Linked DNA regions of Arabidopsis thaliana. The protein of the gene in region 2 interacts with the protein of the main gene of each other region in a pairwise test. Each region holds a gene or a part of one and is shown on either strand. Other genes may lie near its edges.

The links.
Region 1: the proteins of WNK3 (region 2) and PUP18 interact in a protein complementation assay, tested with the Arabidopsis thaliana proteins (one large-scale study listed by BioGRID).
Region 3: the proteins of WNK3 (region 2) and CNGC1 interact in a protein complementation assay, tested with the Arabidopsis thaliana proteins (one large-scale study listed by BioGRID).
Region 4: the proteins of WNK3 (region 2) and AT1G57980 interact in a protein complementation assay, tested with the Arabidopsis thaliana proteins (one large-scale study listed by BioGRID).

The regions. Positions count from the first base shown.
Region 1 is NC_003070.9:21,440,679-21,446,306, reverse strand, and holds PUP18 (purine permease 18), read left to right. Parts: upstream 1-3,270; 5' UTR 3,271-3,434; coding exon 3,435-4,607; 3' UTR 4,608-5,128; downstream 5,129-5,628. Other genes in the region: AT1G58007 (multidrug resistance protein), read left to right, coding at 1-70; AT1G57980 (Nucleotide-sugar transporter family protein), read left to right, coding at 5,575-5,614.
Region 2 is NC_003074.8:17,870,925-17,877,233, forward strand, and holds WNK3 (with no lysine (K) kinase 3), read right to left. Parts: upstream 4,607-6,309; 5' UTR 4,297-4,606; coding exon 4,228-4,296; intron 4,155-4,227; coding exon 4,117-4,154; exon of another isoform or gene 4,013-4,116; coding exon 3,785-4,012; intron 3,707-3,784; coding exon 3,483-3,706; intron 3,404-3,482; coding exon 3,246-3,403; intron 3,163-3,245; coding exon 2,997-3,162; intron 2,844-2,996; coding exon 2,715-2,843; intron 2,627-2,714; coding exon 2,088-2,626; 3' UTR 1,896-2,087; downstream 1-1,895. Other genes in the region: BIR6 (Pentatricopeptide repeat (PPR) superfamily protein), read right to left, coding at 1-1,005; CYP71A26 (cytochrome P450, family 71, subfamily A, polypeptide 26), read left to right, coding at 5,647-6,309. UniProt on the Arabidopsis thaliana protein: May regulate flowering time by modulating the photoperiod pathway.
Region 3 is NC_003076.8:21,536,516-21,543,380, forward strand, and holds CNGC1 (cyclic nucleotide gated channel 1), read right to left. Parts: upstream 4,515-6,865; 5' UTR 4,207-4,514; intron 4,061-4,206; 5' UTR 3,976-4,060; coding exon 3,947-3,975; intron 3,870-3,946; coding exon 3,299-3,869; intron 3,215-3,298; coding exon 3,002-3,214; intron 2,911-3,001; coding exon 2,624-2,910; intron 2,529-2,623; coding exon 2,417-2,528; intron 2,343-2,416; coding exon 2,106-2,342; intron 2,017-2,105; coding exon 1,315-2,016; 3' UTR 1,206-1,314; downstream 1-1,205. Other genes in the region: SPDS3 (spermidine synthase 3), read left to right, coding at 36-140, 229-301, 386-457, 578-770, 854-983, 1,070-1,138. UniProt on the Arabidopsis thaliana protein: Acts as a cyclic nucleotide-gated ion channel. Can be activated by cyclic AMP which leads to an opening of the cation channel. May be responsible for cAMP-induced calcium entry in cells and thus should be involved in the calcium signal transduction.
Region 4 is NC_003070.9:21,437,311-21,442,608, reverse strand, and holds AT1G57980 (Nucleotide-sugar transporter family protein), read left to right. Parts: upstream 1-1,761; 5' UTR 1,762-1,876; coding exon 1,877-1,916; intron 1,917-2,020; coding exon 2,021-3,165; 3' UTR 3,166-3,403; downstream 3,404-5,298. Other genes in the region: PUP18 (purine permease 18), read left to right, coding at 1-909; PUP17 (purine permease 17), read left to right, coding at 3,720-3,759, 3,851-5,007.

The DNA.
Region 1 (5,628 bases), on a different chromosome or scaffold from region 2:
GTCATACGTAGCTCTTCCGGCACCATTTCCTTGCCGGAGAGAAGGCATTCGCTGGCCTTCCCACCTCTAATAAAGTATTGTCTCTCTTAGCTTAGTCGTTGTATCATAATTACTTATCAATTGTTCTGATACTTTGAACAATTGCTTGCTGGATCGAAGTTTTAGGTTAAATATTTATGATGATTCTTTATTTTTAGTAAGAACCGAGGTAGCTAACCTTGGGTTGCCATTACAACCATCACTACTGTATCGTTTCTCCAATTGAAGATATTCTGCTAAGTTCACATGTATAAGGCGACTAGAGCTAACTTTTGCTAGCTCGGTATTGAGGCTTACGACCAATATATGTATACAAGAGACACAGCTCCTATGTGTACAAGAAAACATGGCTAAGAAAATTTTCCAAACATCAACAAATTTTTTGATGTCGTCGAAACTTTATAGGAAAATTCTAATAAAATATATGTTGTCGGTAAACCGTGGAAATTAACAGATAAAAATTCATCGAATTGTGGTCCAAAATTTCATACTATGTTTTTATAGACAATACACGCACGCAAGAAAAAGCATGACCATGAAAAACAAAATCTTATGAAAAATGTTCTTCCAAATGCAACAGAAGTATCTTGACGCAATTGAAACTTAACCAAGCTAATCAAAAGATTCAAGAGTTGGACGGATATGTAGATGTGGCCTACTCTAGTTCCATGATGCAAAACATTCATCTCGATTTGGACTCGCCTTCTCAAAGAGAATATACCGGAAACAAAAATGTAGAGGCTACAAGAAAATATATGCATTCAAACAAAAATTTTTGACGGAAACTCATTAGAAATTTTCCTCAACAATTCGTCAGAAATTTTCTGTCAATGTCTGACCAAAAAAATCTGACCAATTTTCAACTAATATTTTTTACATCGGAAATTTGTCTGAAATTTATCTGCATTTTTCCGACCATGTTTTTTCTCGGAAGTACTCGTTGAAATTTGGGATATTTCCTTGTTGTAAATCGTTTGATTTTTAATTGATATTTTATGTTTTAAATAAATTATAAATTTGTTTAATAGATTATTAGGATTATGCATATATACTTTAATTGTAAATTTTAATTAATATACATTGTAAATAGTGGTCAGAAATTCTTCAAAATTTCTGGTCAAATTCTGACGACTTTATATTTATTACAATGACTTGTTTGTCGGAAGCAACTCAAAATTTACTGTCAATATTCTGACTATTTTTCACAAGAAAGATTGCTCGAGATATAATCGGTAATTTCCAACTAGAAGATAGTTAAAAAATTCTGACAAGGCCAGCCCTAATATATCTTTCATTGCCATATTTTATTAGAAAATTTTTGACAAAATTTCAACGATATTTTTATTATTGTTTTCATAAAAAGTAAAAATAAGAAACCATCCAGAATAATTTAAAGTAAATATAATTTAAATCAAAAGGCTTAATATTAAAATCCATAAAAGACAATATCAAATTGTCATCCAAAGTAAATATTGATTAGTAACAAATATATTAAAGAAAACAAAAGTAAGAGATTAGATAAATAAGGAATAAGAAACAAAAATTGGAACATACAGATATGACGAGAGTAATATTAGAGAGAATGAAAGAGTTTAATGTTTTATATTGGGGGTTTTTTCCCTCTTGTTTTACATTGGTTTGAATGAGACAAATGTCTACAGCTGTGCTTGGACGCAAGCTGATCAAGCACATAGTTGTGGCCCTCGATCAAATATCTATTTGAACGGCCAATTTTATTGGAAATCTCAAGTTACAGTTTCCCCATTTATTTATTTTCTCCCTAAAGTTAAGCTATTAGTCGGGCCAAAAAAAGAAATTCAGCGTGTGGCCTGTTAATATTCGGAGCTGTAGTTCAATATATAAAAAAGAAGTTCGAGCGACCTATTGCATCTTTAATTTGTAGGAAACAAAAACAACACTAAATTCAGATGATTTTGAAATTAAAAGAGCGACCGATTTTTTTTTATTTTTTTTTTGATGAATTTGGATATATTTGTCGGAAAAATGGTTGAGGTGTAAATATATAATTATGATGAATATGTTCAAATTCATCGAAAATTCGTCACAAATCTTTAAATCTATACTAAAAATTCACCGCATAAAACTAAATGTATATTAACACTGAGTGTCTTTGCGATTTCCGACTAATTTCTGAAGGATTTAGAACCATATTTAAATTGGGTCCAAAATATGAAGATAGATAAAATTGTGGTTTTTGATGAATTTCTGACGACTTTTGAAAACACATCTAAAATGAGATTTAAAGTATCTATTTTGAAAGAAAACATCAAATTACAACATAATTACCAAGAATTTCAAATAAAGAAATTGTGATATACAGTTTACAACATGTTTCCAACAAATTTTCGAAAAACAATTAATAACAAATTTCTAACAAAAGTACTTTCTTCTGAAATTGTTAGACTGATTCATCAAATATAAATTCTAATCGATTAATTGTCTAACCGATTATAAGAAGAAATAAAAGAATATCTCGAAAGTCTAATAACGAAACAAGTTTGAGAGACTATTTTTTTTTTCTTTTTTTGAGAGACCAAGTCTTCATTATGGAACATGGATAATTATTGAAATCCAGCTTGCTTTCTTATTTGTTGGGAAGACATCTTATTCTTAGTTGTCTGAATCATATCCATGTATTGTATAAGCGTGTTCGACGTTGTTTTCCCCGAATATAAAAATGCGAAGTTCGCAAGACTTGACCGTTGAGTTGACTGTCTCCATTACAACTTGTTCCTCTAAAGTAGGAACGAGACGTATAGGTAACTTTCTTTGAAAGTCTTTGTTGTTGTCCGAAAATTTGTTAGCAGTCAACTTACATCCAACTTTTTTGTTTGTTTATTTGGTTTTCGAAATTAACTTTCTAGTTAAAATCAGATTTTTTCACTGATCAGGTGTGATCAGTCTCATCCGTGTAAGATTTGTAATTTTTTTTGCTACATCATTAAAATCGACAAATCGATACACAATTCTTTACTATGATATTTATTACAAATCAACACAAAAAATAAATAAACAAACCGAATATTGCGTTTAAATTAACTTTAGTGTATATAATAGCTTTCCGGAAATAGCGTGGTTGAAAGTAGAAACTGTGTTTTATGTCCAAAACTGAATATGAGTCATTTTCAAAGTACCAAATCTTATCTGTCAAAGGATCACATGATTACGTATAAGTTTTAGTGATCTTTTTTAATTATCTAAAAGAAGTATATCGCCGCCAAGGTGGAACAAGTCATTGTTTGTTTAACGCGCACTTCTCCTCCTCAACCATTTATCAAAACTAGAAACCACTATATAAAAAAATCCACAGAGAATGAAATTTACATATTTTCAAATCTTTAAAAGTTGAGACCAGAAGAAGAAGAAAAAAAATCATGGAGATGACCGAAGCTTCCAAACAGACAACAGCAGAAGGATCAGCAAATCCAGAACCAGACCAAATCTTGAGTCCGAGAAGATCGTTGGAGCTAAAACAAAAGAAATGGTGGATCTCTGTTTCTTTATGTATTTTCTTAGTCTTGCTCGGAGATTCTCTAGTCATGCTTCTCTTGAACTTCTTCTATGTTCAAGACAATCGAGAAGATAGTGACCAAGATCTACAATACCGAGGAACATGGTTGCAAGCTCTGGTCCAAAACGCTGCGTTTCCACTACTCATTCCTCTGTTTTTCATTTTCCCTTCACCAAAACAAAACCAAGAAACCACCAATACTCGTTTCCTCTCTTTTCGTCTCATCTTACTTTACATCTCTCTTGGTGTTCTTGTTGCTGCTCACAGCAAATTGTTTGCACTTGGGAAATTATACGCAAACTTTGGCGTCTTCACGCTGATTTCCGCGACTCAGTTGATATTTACCGCTATTTTCGCAGCCATTATTAACCGTTTTAAGTTCACCAGATGGATTATCTTATCGATAATCGGCAGCATTTTGATTTATGTTTTCGGTAGTCCTGAATTTGGAGGAGAGCCTGATGAAAACGAAGAATTCTACAGCATCCAAGCTTGGTTAACTTTCGCTGCTTCAGTTGCTTTCGCATTATCTCTCTGTTTATTCCAACTTTGTTTCGAGAAAGTGTTGGTAAAGACAAAGAGATATGGTAACAAGAAAGTGTTTAGAATGGTCATAGAGATGCAAATTTGTGTCTCTTTTGTCGCAACGGTTGTTTGTCTCGTGGGTTTGTTTGCGAGTGGCGAGAATAAGGAACTGCAAGGCGATAGCCACAGGTTTAAGAAAGGAGAAACGTATTACGTTTTGAGTTTGATCGGGTTGGCATTGTCGTGGCAGGTTTGGGCGGTCGGGCTGATGGGTTTGGTGCTTTATGTTTCGGGTGTGTTTGGCGATGTTGTTCATATGTGTACTTCACCACTTGTGGCTTTGTTTGTTGTGTTGGCATTTGATTTCATGGATGATGAGTTTAGTTGGCCTAGAATTGGTACTTTGATAGCAACAGTTGTGGCTTTAGGATCTTACTTCTACACTCTGCATAAGAGAAACAAGAAGAAGATGGTGGAGCTTTACCAAACAGAGAACAATATTGACGTTTAGTCTCTCATGTCAAATGTTTGTTTCTGTTTCAAAATATGTTGTTGTTCTTCTGAATGTTGTAAGTCAATGTCTAAAACATGTTGTATAGATCTGAAAACTATGGAACATATTTGTTAATTATTTTGATTTGATTTTTTTTTTGTATTTATCTCTTACAATATTTTGTTAATGAGGATTTGTCACTACAATTTATCTCTTACTTTCATCAACAAAGTATTGTAATAACTAATAAATAGATACAAAAAAATCTTTCTCACAGCTGGTTAACCTGGGTTCACAAGTCTTTTCCTATATATAGGCTATAATTTTTACGTTGTAAGAACAAAAACCCTTAGTTTCCTTCCTTTCCTCTAGAGATTTATTTATAACTCTCCTTGGATCTTCAACATGTCATGCCACATTGCCACTCAAGAGAGATATTTTTCACCCTTTTATCTTTTAGCTCTTATGTGTACTTGTTCTTGATTTGGTTCTAAGAGAAACTTTTGTGGTTCTTGAAGGAACCTGTTAGAGATGTAAACTATTTTATGAGATGATCTTATGTTTATGGAGATATATATAAGAGCTTTAAATGATCTTTATGTACTTTTGCTTATTTGATTAATGTTTTTCAATATGTGTTTTAGCATGACCATAAGTGAGTAGTCTAGTCTCTATCATGATTGACAGTTTATTAGGTTAACTTATGTTTAATACATGATTGTTAGGAATAAAATTATAGCCTAGTGATGTCCTCAAGGACCACAACTGATGAGTCGTTTTCAAAGTATACCAAATCTGATCTGTCTAAAGGATCGCATGGTTTTGTATAAGTTTTAGTAATATTTCTAATTATTATAAAGAATTTAATCACCACTAGCTAGTCATTGTTTAATGTGCCTCTCCTCAATCATTCTCAATAATTGGAAAATCTACAGGGAATGAAATTTACATATCTAAATCTTTAGAGATCCACCAGAGAAAACTCATGGAGATGACCGAAGCTTCCAAACATACAACAACACATGGTAACTTCACTGTC
Region 2 (6,309 bases):
ATCTTGAATAGATGGTTTGAACGGACCATCCATCATATATTCATAAAGCTTAACTGTCTCAGCCATCATTCTAGATTTCTGAAACTGCCTTGAAACCTTTATATAAGTGTCAAGATCCATATCATACCCTGCAGTCTTCATTTCATCAACAACACTCCAAAACTCTGCAACCGAGTTAGGCCTAGCCAAAACCCTCAAAGCTGCGTTATAAGTAACAGTACTGTGTTGATAACCAGAAGAACTACCACCACCACCAACCCAATGGAAAAACGCCAAAGCTTTCAAAGGATGTTCCCTTAGTTCTTTCAACACCCTAATCACAAAATTATCCGACAAAACGAGCTTCATCTCCTGCAATTCCCTCTCAACCTCACAACTCCAATCCCCCTTAGTAACAACAGCAGAAACCTCTCCAGCAACAACAGACATTGCGTTCTCCTTAAGCATTCTCTCATAAAAATGAGCCACAGCCACAGCATCAGCTTTCGATTTCTCCTTACTAAGCTCACCATAAATAGTCTTATAAGTATCCTCGTCTAAATAAAACCCTCCTTGTTTCATCTCCCTCAGAGTCATCCAAAACCGTTTCATTGATCTCTGCTGCACTAAAATCCTCAACATAATGCTATAGAGTGGAGTACTTGGACTAAGCCCTGAATCTCTCAAAACCCAATCGAGAAAGTAATAAGCTTTTTCAGGATACTTCTCCAATTTCCTCAGAACGTAAATTGCAGTCTCGTGTGTCAAAGACATATCAGGTTTCCTCAATCCTTCCTCTACTTCCTTAGACCAATCATTCTCAAGCACTAATTGAAGCATAGAATCTGGTTTCGAAGAAAAGGTTCGAAATTTCCAAAGAAATCGACTAGGGACGATTGCAAATGAATCGAGAGGCGAAGACAAGTTTGAGGAAAAACCCACCTTAGATCGGCTTAGATACGATCGAGTAGAGATCTGTGAGTACGCGTGTCGAAGAGAAGACAGGATTGCCATTGATCTGTACATGGCTACAGATGCTACTACTGTGATTTTGTGTGTTTTCGAATAAGGAAGAGGGAGAGGAAGAGAAAGTGACAATAATAGGGTTTAAGCAAAAATGCAATTTTCCTGAAAATTTAGGGGTTTAACTCCTGAAACGCTGCGTTTTAATGCTGTGATATGATATTTTCAAGTTGGTTTATTCTGGCTTGGGCTTTTAAGCCCATTTATGCCAGATATTTGGGTCCAGTCCCGGAATCGCTTACCAACAAGAACAATTTAACTTAAATTACTTTTCGATTTTAGTTCTTATGAAAATTGAGGGCTTTTCTCGGTGCCCTAGAATTGATCGGAAAAATGTTTTCTTCATGGCAGAGCAAGGGAGTGCATGCTTCGACGGATCAGAAACCAATTCCTGAACAAGTATGAGAATTTAGTTTATTTCAGTTTTTGTTTTGATTATTTATTTGCTCTTTGTAGTTTTGATTGGATCCCTTGAGTCCTTGACGCTGCCATATGCTTATATTTGCTTACTCCCTGAAACGCTTTCTTTCCTATAAAGATGTTTTAAGGTAGTTTTATGAAATTTTGGGCTTTTAGCCCATTTATGCCAAATGTTTTGGTGATTAGGTTTATTATCTATGAAACCCTAATATATTATCTTGAGGCATACGCTATTTAAGAAACACCAGTACCCATTAAACCTAATAGGCGAGAGAGAACAAAATATGAACCGCTCTATATCTTCTTCTAAGATTATGAGAGGCGAGCATAGATCATAAGACAACCTTATTAGAGTCTCTGCAAGTGAGTCCAGTGAAGACGAGTAAGGTTCATAAGAGTTGGGTGAAGAGGACGAGGCTAGCTCAGAAGAATCAAGTGAATAAGAACACAGTGATGTGACCTATCATCACCGCGTTCTTTTCTTCTCCCAGACTCTTCTGAGCTAGTTACGTCTTCACCTAACTAATTCAAGAAATATTATTTGACAAATAGTTTTCCTTCAATCATAACTGTCACAATTTTGTTACACATTTACTTACCTTTAGTACAACATAATATTGCAAACCAAATTAATCTTGACGAGAGTGTGTAATGTAAAAAACGTACTAACACAATAAGTTATCAGAATCTTTAACTTGCAATCTCACCAAAGCCTCTTCACAAATCTCAGGAGGAAACTCTTTTAAGAACTCAGTAACAATACGTTCTTGATCTCTCTGCATCTCTTCAATCTCCTCTCTCTGTTTCCTCAACAAAGACTCAAGTTTCTCTACTATAACCCCAACTTCTTGATTGATCGGTCCTTGTGCTGACGACAACTTAGAATTAGACCGTGGCGCAAACGGTGAACGTGAGTCTCCAGCTCCAGCTTTAGGAGAGGACCAGAATTTTCTCCCTGAAGGAAATCTATCTAAATGGAGCGTCTCTGGAGAAGACAAACATTTTTGTACCGCTGAATCATCACCGATAAGTCGAGAAGGGGTCCAATCGGGGATGTGTGAATGTATCTCTGTGTCGATCATTTTAGCTATCGTTGAGATGTCTTGATCATCGGTTAAGTCTAGTTCTTCGACCATTTCGATGGCGACTGAGAAAGATGTGTCTGTCTCTATGTTAAATGGGAAGTGGATATTGCGGATTTGACCTGTATAAAAAATGTTATTATTGTGTCAAAAGAAGATTTAGTAATGATCTGAAGATTTGTAATAAAAAAAGCAAAAAAGATTTTGAACCTTTGGAATCGGTGATACGTAGTTTTAGGAAGATTGTGTTGAGGTCTTTACGTTGGCCTTCTACGGTTAATAAGCCTACCTCAGAATCCGAGAGTTTATCCACGATTCCGTTTCCGTTGTAACCATTTTCTGTGACAATGTTATTGAACTTGGTGTTAGAAAATTTCACATAGAAAAAATATAGAAACTATCTTATGTTACTATTATTGATTTTAACTTTTAAGAAAGGAGTCCATGACACTTCATATTGAGATGAAATGAAATACCATAATCTGATATTACCTTTGTGAGAGCTGACGTTTTCGGTATTTTCCTTGTAGCATTTCAGAAAAGGATCATCAAGTAGTTCCTTGGCTGACAAGCGTTGCGAGACCTTTGCGATACACTTCTCTATGAATGCTCTCACTTGCGGATCAGTCACATTTAAAAGAGCGGCTGGTTTGATTCCCTAAGAAGCATTGAGAAAAATGGATCGACAATATGGAAAAAGTCATTCTTGATTGGATATGAGATGGGAATATGATCACTTACCGATGTAACTTTCCTATAAATCTGAGCAGCATTTGTGCATTCGGAATACGGGTATTCAAAAGTTACCAGCTCAAGCAAACACATTCCAAACGCGTAGATATCGACAAGTACATTATAGTCCTCTTCATAGAGTTCCGGCGCCATAAATTCAGGAGTTCCTTAAACAATTTCAAACACAAAATTATAGTTTCACAATGGAGAAACTTTTTCGTTTGAGAACAAGATTAAAGATCTCACCGATGACGCTATGAGCAGAGCGAGCGCGGTGCAGAATCGCGGCTAGCCCTAGATCTCCAATTTTGACCTCACCTTGGTTCCCATTAATGAAAATGTTATCACATTTAAGATCTCTATGGATCACAGGAGGATCATGGCTATGTAGATAAACAAGCCCTTCTAAGATCTGCCTTGACCATTTCTTCAATGCTCTTAGATCAACACACTTATGTTTCTTCCGGTACCTATAAGGGTTTGTCAAACATGAATAATATTGATCAAATAAAAAAGATTTGATTTGACTTCTGAGAGAGGAATCTGACTGTCTAAGATTTCCGGAAGTGAAGACTTCGGTGATGAGATTGATAGTCATGTGTTGGTGATCGATCCAAGAAGTGTAGAATTTGATGATGCTTTTGTGTTTAAGGGTTTTGAGTAAGTGAACTTCAGAGTAAAGACGATCTAAATCCTCTGAGCTACAGAATTTATCATCTAACTTAACTTGGTTCCAAGCCACTTCGATTCCTTCAAGTTGGTCAAATGCTCTGTATCTGAAGAACTCTCTGATCAAAGAAACCCTTTAGTGACTGTGTCTTGTCCGAATCTAATCTGATTTGTCTCTGTAGTAATAACAGAGATCTAAGAAAAAGGATACACTTCTTTGAAAGCTCCTTTGCCTAGAACTTCTTTATACTGAAAACATGAGAAACAAAAACATTAGAATTGAGAAAAAGGTAACACTAAAATCAAGTAAAGAAGAACAGACCCGGCCATAGCGACCAGTGGGATCAATCTCAACGAATTCTTCCTCGGAGTTATTCTCGTCTTGTCGCATTCTTGGTTACTTGCAATTCAAAACAGATGATAGGAGTTCTTGAGAGAAGAGAGAAATTTAGTCAAGGAAGAACAAGTTTTGAAGCAGTTTCTGATAATAATAATAATCATTACTTAGCTGTCTTTTTGTGTATAAATCGATTATTTAGATTTTGTGCCATTAAAACCAAGCTTAAGCTTTTCCAGCTGCTGATCATAATGGTGTCGACTGTAGAATGTTGTACACTCTCTCTCTTTCTCATCTTCGAATTTAGGACACTCAGATCCACTGGACAAGACCACGTGGCAAAGGTGTGGGTCGTTGCTTTTTTCGCGCCATGGATCTGGTTTTTTATTTGATTTTCTTCTCATTTATTGTCATGTTACTCTAATCAATTATTTTGCTTATTCAGTCAACTTCATGGTGTTGTGAATATAAAATATTCGGACTTTTTTTTTCCCCTTCTTAACTCTTAAGTCACTGTTTTAGCTGACTAAGAACCCTATAATTGACTATCCTACAAATCGAATAATGGGTTTGGTAAATTACAAAATGTTTAGCCATTGAACCCGCTTGTCATGGTAACGAATTCGATTTTACTGTGTGTAAACAACAATTTGGACTTCAGCTTCAGTTCTTTTAAACTTAAGGAAACTTTTCACTAAAGGGTTTTGCTCTCTCTCTCAGGATTAATAGAATAATAGTCATAGTTTTTGGTGAAACATAAATATTCAATGTTGTTACACTTTAAATAGAAACTTGTACTGACACAAATCACTACACTAATGTTATGATCATTTGTTATAATCTATTACTTCTACTTATATCTCAAAATATAAATGTTTTACATATTGGAGACAGAATGTTTGAGACGAATTAGGACATTTAAATTTTCATGGAGAATTGTTTGTTGAACAATGTTGTCGTTGTATTTTTGATGAGTATGAATTGGCGGTTCAGCCGTTTAAAAACCGATTATATACAATGATCATCAAATTTTTGTAAGGCCCATTGGGCCCAGAGTATATAAATCCTTAGAGCTGACGGCAGCCTGAGACCATTATCCTAGGCACTTGTATTGTATGGTGGTAAGACACATCGTGGAAGCACCGAAAGACTAGAACGGTGACACGACCAAAATAAGACATAAATCGTAAACGCACCAAATGACTTTCACAAGGAAAAATCTCGAAGAACTAAACATTAAAAGACTGGTGCATGCATAAATACATAAGTCCAAAAGATTGAGTGGACAGTAATTACGTACTAGTACTACCGTGAAGAAACTTGGCTTGTATATGTAAGTCCAAAAAAACCACAAATAAAAACTCTTCACAAGAACACGTTTTGATGTACTTGAAGAATCCAGACATGATGATCATGTTCTTTCTGTTATGCTCAATAATCTTTGTAGTTACCATCATAATTTTCAGAAAACAGAAGAGAGGGAAGAAAAGAAACACACTTCCGTCACCACCGGGACTACCGTTGATCGGAAACCTTCATCAACTCGGCCGCCACCCTCACCGATCACTATGCTCTCTCAGCCACCGGTACGGTCCTCTTATGCTTCTTCACTTTGGCCGTGTCCCCGTTCTTGTAGTATCTTCAGCTGAATTGGCTAGAGACGTTTTGAAGACGCATGACCGTGTTTTCGCAAGCCGGCCACGGTCAAAAATCTTCGAGAAACTTCTTTACGATAAGCATGATGTGGCCTCAGCTCCTTATGGAGAGTACTGGAGGCAAATGAAAAGTGTGTGCGTCCTCCATCTATTCAGCAACAAAATGGTACGATCCTTTCGAGAAGTGAGAGAAGAAGAGATCAGTCTGATGATGGAAAAGATCAGGAAATCGATTTCTTTGCCGGTAAATCTAAGCAAGATCTTGGTGAGTTTAACTAACGATGTGATATGTAAAGTTGCTTTGGGACGGAAATACGGTGGTGAAACGGATTTTAAGGAGTTAATGGAGAGACTAAATAAACTATTGGGGACGTTTAGTGTGGGGAGTTATGTACCTTGGCTTGCGTGGATT
Region 3 (6,865 bases), on a different chromosome or scaffold from region 2:
ATTAATGCTGGCCTTCGCTGTCTAAATATTTGCAGGTTCTTGTTGTTGGTGGAGGTGATGGTGGTGTTCTTCGAGAGATTTCTCGCCATAGTTCTGTTGAGGTTATTGATATCTGTGAGATAGACAAGATGGTTATAGATGTAAGTTTTTGGTTTTGTGCTTGCCATATGTATGAACAATTTTTAGTTATGTTCTATCTCAGAAAGTGGGATTTCTGTGGTCTTGTAGGTGTCTAAGAAGTTCTTCCCCGAGTTAGCGGTTGGGTTTGACGATCCTCGTGTTCAACTTCACATTGGTGATGGTAATTAAGCATTCTTCTACTTGTTCTCTGTTCACAAAACGTAGTCAAAAATTTGCTTGTGTTGATATCACTTTCCTCTGGCAGCTGCTGAGTTCCTCCGTAAATCCCCTGAAGGGAAGTATGATGCCATCATTGTTGATTCTTCAGATCCCGTAGGTATGATTCATCTGCAAAACTCTTTGGATATCTGAGTGATTCTTATTTTGTTTTTCTAAATCAAAACTCGGTTCAGACTTCAGCTACAAACTCTCACGTTTTCACTCTATATAATCATAGGTCCTGCTCTTGCGCTTGTTGAGAAGCCTTTCTTCGAGACACTGGCTAGAGCGTTGAAGCCTGGGGGAGTTCTTTGTAACATGGCAGAAAGTATGTGGCTCCATACTCATCTTATTGAAGATATGATCTCCATTTGCCGTCAAACATTCAAAAGTGTTCACTATGCGTGGAGCAGCGTCCCCACATATCCAAGGTTAACTCTACTTTTCTTCTGATTACATTGTGTGATCTCACTGAAATCAGAAACATGAATTGAGCAACATATCTTCATTGCAGCGGCGTGATTGGTTTCGTCTTGTGCTCTACTGAAGGACCAGCTGTTGACTTCAAGAACCCAATCAACCCTATTGAGAAACTAGACGGTGCGATGACCCATAAAAGAGAATTGAAGTTCTATAACTCTGATGTAAGTTTAACACAACTATGACTTCCTCATTTACTGTTTTAGATTAACTTAAAGCAAAATCCTGATCTATCTTTTTACTAAAACAGATGCACAGAGCCGCATTTGCTTTGCCCACATTCCTGCGGAGAGAAGTAGCTTCACTTCTGGCTTCTTGACTTCTGTTTGGCTCTACCATATCCCTCATATCAAACTTTGTAGAACTCTTGAAGAGGAATAATAAATCATTGAAGGCTTTGTATCTCTAAGTTTACTCCTTTATAAAAAGACTTATATTTATATATTGGCTCTATGGTTCGCAATAAAATCTTTCATATACATATATGCTAATTAATTAATCATCACTGTTGAAATCTGGCTCTGCTGGTTTCTGAAGTAGCATAGGTGGCATTCGTTCCGGCATCCTTGGTTTCCTTACTGATCCGCTCCTACGTATTGTGCGCAAGATATTTGCAGCAAACCGTGATGCGTATATTGTAGCACCGAGGCTTGGGGAACTTCCACAAGCTTCTTTAGCCAAAGCATCCTGCAACCGATTCTCTTCTTCTTTAAGAGACTCTTCGAGTTTCTTCTTAATGTATCTTCTCCAAGCGGCTTGTATGAAGCAAGCGGCCCAAGTCTTCCATTGTTGTGAGTAGTACCTGAAAGTATGTCTTAGCTGTTTGCTGTGAAGACGTCTGAACTGGGAAGCCACGAATTTGAGGTCATCAGCTTTAAGTGCGAAAGCTTCAACTTCCATGAGAGCTCGAACAGTTCTTGTTGAGATTGGGAGGTTTGAGGATGAGTGTGGGTCTAAAGCCCAGGTTAAAAGCTCCTCACCACAGAAATCACCGGCTCCAAGATACTCGGAATTTAAAAAACCGGTTCTTCCACCGTTTGTTGTGATTGTTAGAAGCTTCCCGCGCATTATGAAGAGCATTTCGTCTACCGGATCTCCTTCTCTTACTATGTAGCTTTCCTCTGTGTATAACACAGGTTGCAAACGGTCACAGAGCGCATCAAGAAGCTGTTCGTCCATTTTCTCAAACATGGGGACCTAGAACCAACAAAAACAAGATGCGGTTACGAGTGATGTTGACAATAAATGAGAAATCGAGTAAAGAGAGGAGATGATTTCTTCTTTACCCGCATGAGAAGGGCGAGACAGAGATGACGTTTGATGTCGCGTCTAAGATCTTTGGGAAGATTACTAAGAAGATTCTCTTCGTCAACACCTCTTGTCTCTTGCCATTTGTACTGCTCGTATCGCCGGATTCTTTTTCTCAAGTTCTCAGGTAGCAAACGGTGTGACATCCATTGTTCTGCGTCTCTTCTCTTTACCCTCATCTCCTCCAATCTCGTGGTAGTGGATTGCAGATACGTCTGCCATTTAAAAGAAAAGCAGTAAGTAATCGATTTCGCAAACACTATGGCATATTAGATGAAATGAGACTAACCTGCATATTTCCAATCAAGAAGGAGAACAAAACCAGCCCCGCAATAGAAATGAACACCGCGAAACAGATTTCCCAAATATATGTACTTGTTTTAAGGTTCTGACCGAGCGAACTGGATCACGAAAACAGAACAAAGATGCAAGAACTTAGTGTTGAAACTTTTCTTCATAAGAAACGGAGAAAATTTTGCTGATAAATTCTCAATACCTGAGGTTCTGCAGACCCCACCAGAAACAGTAAAAAAACTTTTGAGGGAAATCTTGAGATTCCACTACACCGGATTGAAGTGCGTCAAGGAATATCCCAAAGTCGAAGAGTGTTGTGTTTGGTGTCTGAATCGGACAAGACTCATTGAGGAAAGCATTGCCTCCTGCAGTTTCAGGGTCACAGTACAACAACTTCGAAATGCACGGAGGGTTATTCCTCTCACAAGCTTGTTTCCAGCACACCGTTTCGCGTTCGATTGAGAACAAATACCAGAAAGCACCAAACACCTACACATTTACAGGTATTGACCAAAAATATTATATATCTAAACTCTGAAACTAAAAAGGTTGGGACAGTTAGAACCAATTTGGCACTCACATGACTAGCAAGCATGTAGAGGAAGAGATTGAAAGCAGCTCCAGCCCAAGCTGTCTCAGTGAGTATGCCTGAAGTTCTTGTAACTTCCTTGTAGAGCGGATATATTCTTATAAACCTCGGTATATATTGGAAGAAAACAATAAACTTCAACATATTCTTCGTGTTCAAAGACGATGAACCTCTCATATGTGGAATGATTATCAAAATCACCATCTGAGGAAAAACACAATTACTCACATTACTCAAAGAATCAAGCTAATGATTTGGAAATGCAAACAAAACCAATCAATGAATCACCTGCGGAAGCGGAAGAACAGCAAGAATGTCAATTATGAAATGTGAGGACAAGTAACGTTTAGCGATCTCTCGCTTGTCCTCAACAAGAACACCTCTCCCAAAAACACGAGACGAAGGAGCGATAAAGCCAGTACGGAACTGGAAAATGATGTGAAGGACATAAAAAACATCAGTGAAAGAGCGCAAAACGCTTGCTGTTATTTCCATTTTCTTGTCAATACCAAGACATTTCTTAGCATCATCGATGATAGGCACGTAGAAGAACAAAGGGTCAAGCGAGACAGCGATGATACAAGCTAAAACAAAGATCTTGTTCCATCTCTGAAGAAAAGGTCCTTGTGGGTCAAGAATTTTGTGAGTAGAACCAATCCCTTTTGAAACAGCTTCTTTAAAAGAGTAAGACTTGTAAGATCTTTTGAATAGTTTGATCCTTGCAGAGCTTGATTCAAAGCTTCTGTAAAACTTGTCGGAGATTGAGCTTATTGTTCTCTGGAATATTCCAGTTTGAATCTCGTTTTTACCGGAATATTCCACGTCGGAGGAAGTCTTATCCGACTTCCAATCTTGAAACCTGATCCGAGAAAGTGAAGAAGAATCGAATTAAGCTTCACGACTTAGAATTCAATGAGACAAATCTGGAACACTGACCTTACAAACTTCTCTTGTCGGAAATTCATAGTTTGAGACTAATAAGATTCAATACAAACAGAGATTTCACTGCTTCATGTGTCTTCTTCACCAATTAGAGGGAAATTCATAACCCTGATTCAACAAACTTCAATTCAATTCAACAATTTCGATTTCAGTAAAAATCAAACTCAAATTTCAAAACTTTCCAGTGTCAAAAACGCAATTCGACTAAACAGCAAAAAAAAAGGAAGAAACTTGTTTGAGGTAAAAAATCAAACCGAACATGGACAAGTGTGTTTGCTTCCGACAATCCTGTAGACTTTTGAGGAGAACAATAAGAACCAATAAAAGGGCAAAAGAAGAAATCACTGTTTAAACCCACCAAAAAGAAAAATCAAATCTTTGTTTTGTTTTTCCTCGGAAAGAGCGAAACTAAAGTGACCCAGAAACTAAAGAAGAGAGGAAGCTGATAAAATGAAGAAATTGGAGAAAGAGAGAGAGTGATGAAGAAGAAAGAAGAAGAAGAGATTGAATGATGAAAGTGAAGCCTTTATCAGAGGACAGAGAGGACGGGGAAGGAGTTTCCACGAAAGTCACAAACTTTTGCTATTTTATCATTTTTTTCTTCGATTTTCTTAAATTTTGTTTCACTGTTTTTGTTAATTTTTTTAAAGTTATTCCAAAAAGACAGTTATACCTTTGCAGTCTTTGATACTTCAAAAAGATTTCGGACCAAATTTAACTTTGACTATTAAGTACGAAATCTTTTTTAAATTGAGTTTTTAACTTCACCTTTTAGTAGAAAAATATGTTCTGAATTGAGTTGTCAGTTTTTTAGTAGACGAATATGTTGGAAGATTACAGAATTCACAGGCTCACAACAATAATATATGTAGTTTTCAAAAGTAAAATAATGCTACATTTCCTGATCCTCTCATCCATAGATGTTGAAAGAAATATCTTTATCAATCATGTATTTTTTTTTTGTCAATCATGTATTTGTTTGCACACAAAAAAAAAGAGTCAATCATGTATTTTTAAAAAAATAATGATAATTTTTTGACAATTCCATATACTTAATTAAAATAACTGTTTATGCCATTTAGCAAAGTTTCCTATAATTTTTTTTATAGCATATATTATAATTAATTTTTTTAGATTGCTTAGATTTTTTTTATATACATTCCATATATATGTTGTTTGGTTATGGGATCAAATCAACTTAAGCATGTAATAAATTAGAATTTGCTGACAAAAGAAGACGTAGTTACGGAGTTAATCAAGGCATTTCTTTATTACAGTCGAAGACATTAACTGATATCAATGTTTAGGCATACAAAAACTTCATAATGATGTATCATTTTCGTGGCAAACTTAAATTCTGTAACTGACTATTGTTCTCTATTTTTGTAGGTTTGATTTTTGTCTTTGTAATACGTCGAAGTTTCGTGTTGATGAGATAATGTCAAATTTCGTAAACTCAGGCTTTTTGTTCGTATATTTCAATGCACAGTTTCATTTCCGCTTGTATCCTTTTTAAAATCGTGTATATGGTAAATCGATTTCATAGATTTGAATAAAGTTACTTAATATTTAGTTTTATGTTAAATCACGAATGATTTAGATTATAGAAGGAGATGACATAATTTGGGAAAAAAATATGAGCCTTTTTAACATTTGAGTTCTTAAGTATTTTCAAACTGTTAGTCCTAACTCCTTCATGACATGTTTTCTTTTCTTATGTTGGTGAAACATCCTTTGATCAAAAAACAAAAAAAAAAATGGTGAAACATCATCTCTTCTTTTTTTCATCAGCACCAAAAATTTCAAACTTGCAAACGCAGACGAAAAAAGAAAATCACATTTGCATTTGTAGCTACTAAAACCATGACCATGATTAAATTTATCTCCACCAAATTTCTTTTGTTAAGAATAAAAGGATGATAAGTTAAAGATATAGCCCGTGAGTACTTGTCGATCAACCACGAACCAACCCACGTGTCCTCTTCCTCTTTATCTTCTCATTTTTACCAAATTTTGTTCTCCACAAATTTAGACCGTTAAGTTTAAAATTAAATTTGAACGTCTATTATATTACTCAATTGATAGTTTAATTGATACTGATAATTAAGTGCTAATAGAGACCGTTGACCGTATCGTGTCCCTGATTGTACGTTGTCTTATGAATGCCAAGGGAGGTTCCTAGCTGTCGGATTTGGAGACCAGTCTCAAGATTTTATCATTGTTACTACTTCATAATCCAAATTTGTCTAAACATTGTCAACTCTTATTTAATTGTTTATACGAATAAAATACTATTAACATCGAATTCAAACTATCAAGACCTTTGAATATGGACGATATGAGTCAAAGTCAACCATCTTCCCACCCGTAAAATTATCACAAGAAAAAGACATTTGTAAGAGTATCTTTCTCTTCTTCGGATTTGAATGAAAAATGACATAATGCTGTTGCTAATGCAGTCATGGGATCTACTCCTTATATTCCACCTCCTGCAATGACTGCATCAAGTCTTGATCTCAGTCTTTTTACGACGGATCAAGTCCATTCTTTAATACAACAACTCAATACTCATCTTCATGTTCCGGAGCAGTCAACTCCCTTTCCATCAGCTACCATCACTGATCATGGAGCTATGGCAACTACTTCTACAGCTGGTAATGTTTCTATTGAATTTCCCTCAACAAGTTTACGATATGAAAATCATTCTTTCACATTTCAACATCATTGTCTTTCATCATTATATTCCATTTTGCCTCATGATGCTTGGATAGTTGACAGTGGAGCTAGTAGTCATGTTTGTTCTGATTTGGCAATGTTTAGTGAGACTTTTCCTGTTACTGGTATTACAGTCTCACTTCCAAATGGCACTAGAGTACCCATTAGTCACACAGGCACAGTGCATATTTCATCCAC
Region 4 (5,298 bases), on a different chromosome or scaffold from region 2:
GCTGCGTTTCCACTACTCATTCCTCTGTTTTTCATTTTCCCTTCACCAAAACAAAACCAAGAAACCACCAATACTCGTTTCCTCTCTTTTCGTCTCATCTTACTTTACATCTCTCTTGGTGTTCTTGTTGCTGCTCACAGCAAATTGTTTGCACTTGGGAAATTATACGCAAACTTTGGCGTCTTCACGCTGATTTCCGCGACTCAGTTGATATTTACCGCTATTTTCGCAGCCATTATTAACCGTTTTAAGTTCACCAGATGGATTATCTTATCGATAATCGGCAGCATTTTGATTTATGTTTTCGGTAGTCCTGAATTTGGAGGAGAGCCTGATGAAAACGAAGAATTCTACAGCATCCAAGCTTGGTTAACTTTCGCTGCTTCAGTTGCTTTCGCATTATCTCTCTGTTTATTCCAACTTTGTTTCGAGAAAGTGTTGGTAAAGACAAAGAGATATGGTAACAAGAAAGTGTTTAGAATGGTCATAGAGATGCAAATTTGTGTCTCTTTTGTCGCAACGGTTGTTTGTCTCGTGGGTTTGTTTGCGAGTGGCGAGAATAAGGAACTGCAAGGCGATAGCCACAGGTTTAAGAAAGGAGAAACGTATTACGTTTTGAGTTTGATCGGGTTGGCATTGTCGTGGCAGGTTTGGGCGGTCGGGCTGATGGGTTTGGTGCTTTATGTTTCGGGTGTGTTTGGCGATGTTGTTCATATGTGTACTTCACCACTTGTGGCTTTGTTTGTTGTGTTGGCATTTGATTTCATGGATGATGAGTTTAGTTGGCCTAGAATTGGTACTTTGATAGCAACAGTTGTGGCTTTAGGATCTTACTTCTACACTCTGCATAAGAGAAACAAGAAGAAGATGGTGGAGCTTTACCAAACAGAGAACAATATTGACGTTTAGTCTCTCATGTCAAATGTTTGTTTCTGTTTCAAAATATGTTGTTGTTCTTCTGAATGTTGTAAGTCAATGTCTAAAACATGTTGTATAGATCTGAAAACTATGGAACATATTTGTTAATTATTTTGATTTGATTTTTTTTTTGTATTTATCTCTTACAATATTTTGTTAATGAGGATTTGTCACTACAATTTATCTCTTACTTTCATCAACAAAGTATTGTAATAACTAATAAATAGATACAAAAAAATCTTTCTCACAGCTGGTTAACCTGGGTTCACAAGTCTTTTCCTATATATAGGCTATAATTTTTACGTTGTAAGAACAAAAACCCTTAGTTTCCTTCCTTTCCTCTAGAGATTTATTTATAACTCTCCTTGGATCTTCAACATGTCATGCCACATTGCCACTCAAGAGAGATATTTTTCACCCTTTTATCTTTTAGCTCTTATGTGTACTTGTTCTTGATTTGGTTCTAAGAGAAACTTTTGTGGTTCTTGAAGGAACCTGTTAGAGATGTAAACTATTTTATGAGATGATCTTATGTTTATGGAGATATATATAAGAGCTTTAAATGATCTTTATGTACTTTTGCTTATTTGATTAATGTTTTTCAATATGTGTTTTAGCATGACCATAAGTGAGTAGTCTAGTCTCTATCATGATTGACAGTTTATTAGGTTAACTTATGTTTAATACATGATTGTTAGGAATAAAATTATAGCCTAGTGATGTCCTCAAGGACCACAACTGATGAGTCGTTTTCAAAGTATACCAAATCTGATCTGTCTAAAGGATCGCATGGTTTTGTATAAGTTTTAGTAATATTTCTAATTATTATAAAGAATTTAATCACCACTAGCTAGTCATTGTTTAATGTGCCTCTCCTCAATCATTCTCAATAATTGGAAAATCTACAGGGAATGAAATTTACATATCTAAATCTTTAGAGATCCACCAGAGAAAACTCATGGAGATGACCGAAGCTTCCAAACATACAACAACACATGGTAACTTCACTGTCTTAACTTCTGTAAAAATTGTTTCTATTCTTATTGTCTTCTTAAAAATAAAAAATAAAAACTGAGAATTCCAAATTTTCTTTAACCAACAGAAGAATCAGAACATGTTCAGAATCCTGAACCAGACCAAGTCTTGAGCCAAAGACAACTGTTGCAGCTAAATCAAAAGAAATGGTGGATCTCTGTTCTAATATGTCTTTTCTTAGTCCTGCTTGGAGATTCTCTTGTCATACTTCTCTTGAACTTCTTCTATGTTCAAGACCGTCGAGAAGATAATAACCAAGATCTACAATACAAAGGAACATGGATGCAAGCTCTGATCCAAAACGCTGCTTTTCCAATCCTCATCCCTCTCTTCTTCATTTTCCCTTCACCAAAACCAAACCCTGAAACCATCAATACTCGCTTCCTCTCCATTCGTCTCATCTTGCTTTACTTCTCCCTTGGTGTTCTTGTTGCTGCTCACAGCAAATTGTATGCACTTGGGAAGTTATACTCAAGCTATGGCTTCTTCATGCTGATTTCAGGGTCCCAGTTGATCTTTACCTTGATTTTCACAGCTATCATTAACCGTTTCAAGTTTACTAGATGGATCATCATATCGATAGTTCTCATTCTTGTGAGCTATGCTTTTGGTGGTCCTGTATTTTCAGGAGAGCCTGATGAAAATGAACATTTCTACGGCATCCAAGCTTGGTTAACTTTCGCTGCTTCAGTTGCTTTCGCATTATCTCTCTGTTTAGTCCAACTTAGTTTCGAGAAACTGTTGGTGAAGACAAAGAGATATGGTAACAAGAAAGTGTTTAGAATGGTCTTAGAGATGCAAATATGTGTCTCTTCTGTCGCCTCGGTTGTTTGTCTAGTTGGTTTGTTTGCGAGTGGTGAGTATAAGGAGCTGAAAGGCGATAGCGAGAGGTTTAAGAAAGGAGAAACGTATTACGTTCTGAGTTTGGTCGGGTTGGCTTTGTCGTGGCAGGTTTGGGCGGTCGGGCTGATAGGTTTGGTGCTTTATGTTTCGAGTGTTTTTAGTAATATTGTTCATATGTGTGCTTCACCACTTATGGCTTTTATTGTTGTGTTGGCATTTGATTTTATCGATGATGATTTTAGTTGGCCTAGAATTGGTGCTTTGATAGGATCAGTATTGGCTTTAGGATCTTACTTCTACACTCTGCACAAAAGAAACAAGAAGAAGATGGTGGAATTTAACCAAAGTGAGAACAATGTAGAAGTTTAGTCTCTCATGTCAACTGTATATTTGTGTTTCTCAATCTGTTCTTGTTTCTTTTTCTGATTCTTGTAAGTCAATGTCCAAAATATGTTGTATAGATATGGATCAACTGTGTAATTTATTTGTTGATTGTTTTAGTTTGATTTTTTTTTCTCTGTTTTGCATTTATTTGTAATTTTAAATGTTTTAAGTCTGAAACTATAAAATTTATAACCTCCAAAATATTAATTTTATTTTGATCAAATTGTTTAACTTATATTTTGTTAACAATTAAAACAAAAGTTTCTATAAATTAATAAAATATCATGTTCCAACATTATTAATTTATAGAGGTTTTAATGTACGTTTAAATTAAGTAATTAACCTTGTGTAGCGGTGTATAATATATACAGTAATACCTTTCCGGGTTTTGACTAGTACCAACTCTGATCTGTCAAAAAGATTTCGTACGGTATAGTGGAAAGATCTTTTCTAATTGCAAGATAGAACTAGTCATTCCACAGAGAATGAAATCTGCATATTTAAGGGTGTTCAGACTTCAGAGGTACCAGAGAAAACTAATGGAGATGTCCAAAGCTTCCAAACAGACAACAAGACATGGTAATTATTTCAAATTCTTATCATAAGTTTTATAATATTGTTTCTGTACTCGAAAACAAAATAAAAACTAAATATTTTCTTTAACAACCAGAAGAATCAGAACACGTTCAGAATCCAGAACCAGACCAAATCTTGAGTCCAAGAAGATCGTTGGAGCTAAAACAAAGAAAATGGTGGATCTCTGTTTCTTTATGTCTTTTCTTAGTCTTACTCGGAGATTCTCTCGTCATGCTTCTCTTGAACTTCTTCTATGTCCAAATGAAGCAAGACCGTCGAGAAGAGTATGACCAAGATCTACAATATAAAGGAACATGGACGCAAGCTCTGATCCAAAACGCTGCGTTTCCTATTCTCATCCCTCTCTTTTTCATTTTCCCTAAACCAAAACAACACCTTGAAACCAACAATACTAGTTTCCTCTCCTTGCGTCTCTTCTTCCTTTACTTATCTCTTGGTGTTCTTGTTGCTGCTCACAGCAAATTGTTCGCACTCGGGAAATTAGTCTCAAACTATGGCATCTTCTCATTGATTTCCACAACACAGTTGATATTTACCGCTGTTTTAACAGCCATCATTAACCGTTTCAAGTTTACTAGATGGATCATCATATCGATATTACTCACTATTGTGATTTACGTTCTCGGTACTCCTGACTTTGGAGGACAGCCTCATGACGGCGAAGAATTCGGATACAACATCCAAGCTTGGTTAGCTTTCTCTGCTACAATTGCTTTCTCATTATCTCTTTGCTTAATCCAACTCGGGTTCGAGAAACTCCAAGTGAAGACCAAGAGATATGGTAACGAGAAAGTGTTTAGAATGGTCTTAGAGATGCAAATATGTGTCGCTTTTGTCGCCTCGGTTGTTTGTCTCGTGGGCTTGTTTGCGAGTGACGAGTATAAGGAACTGAAAGGCGATAGCAAGAGGTTTAAGAAAGGGGAAACGTATTACGTTCTGAGTTTGGTCGGGTTGGCTTTGTCGTGGCAGGTTTGGGCGGTCGGGATGATAGGTTTGGTGCATTATGTTTCGGGTCTTTTTGGTGATGTTGTTCATATGTGTGCTTCACCATTTGTGGCTTTGTTTGTTGTCTTGGCATTTGATTTTATGGATGATGTGTTTAGTTGGCCTAGAATTGGTGCTTTGATAGGAACAGTTTTGGCGTTAGGATCTTACTTCTACACTCTGCACAAGAGAAACAAGAAGAAGATGGCGGAACTTAACCAAAGTGAGAACAATGTTGAAGTTTAGTTTCTCATGTCAAGTGTTTGTCAATCTGTTCTTGTTATTCTGATTCTTGTAAGTCAATGTCCAAAATATGTTGTATAGATATGGATCAAACTATGTAATTTATTTATTAGTTGGTTTAGTTTGATTTTTTTCTTTTCTCTGTTTTGCATTTATTTGTTACAATACTTTGCTAGAGGAGTGAATCCCTATATATTTCTCAAGTAGACTTGATTGTTAACATCTATGGGGCATCGAGACACCAATAAAGCCACATCCCACTTGATGATATAAGCTGCACCAAGCTCTTATGCC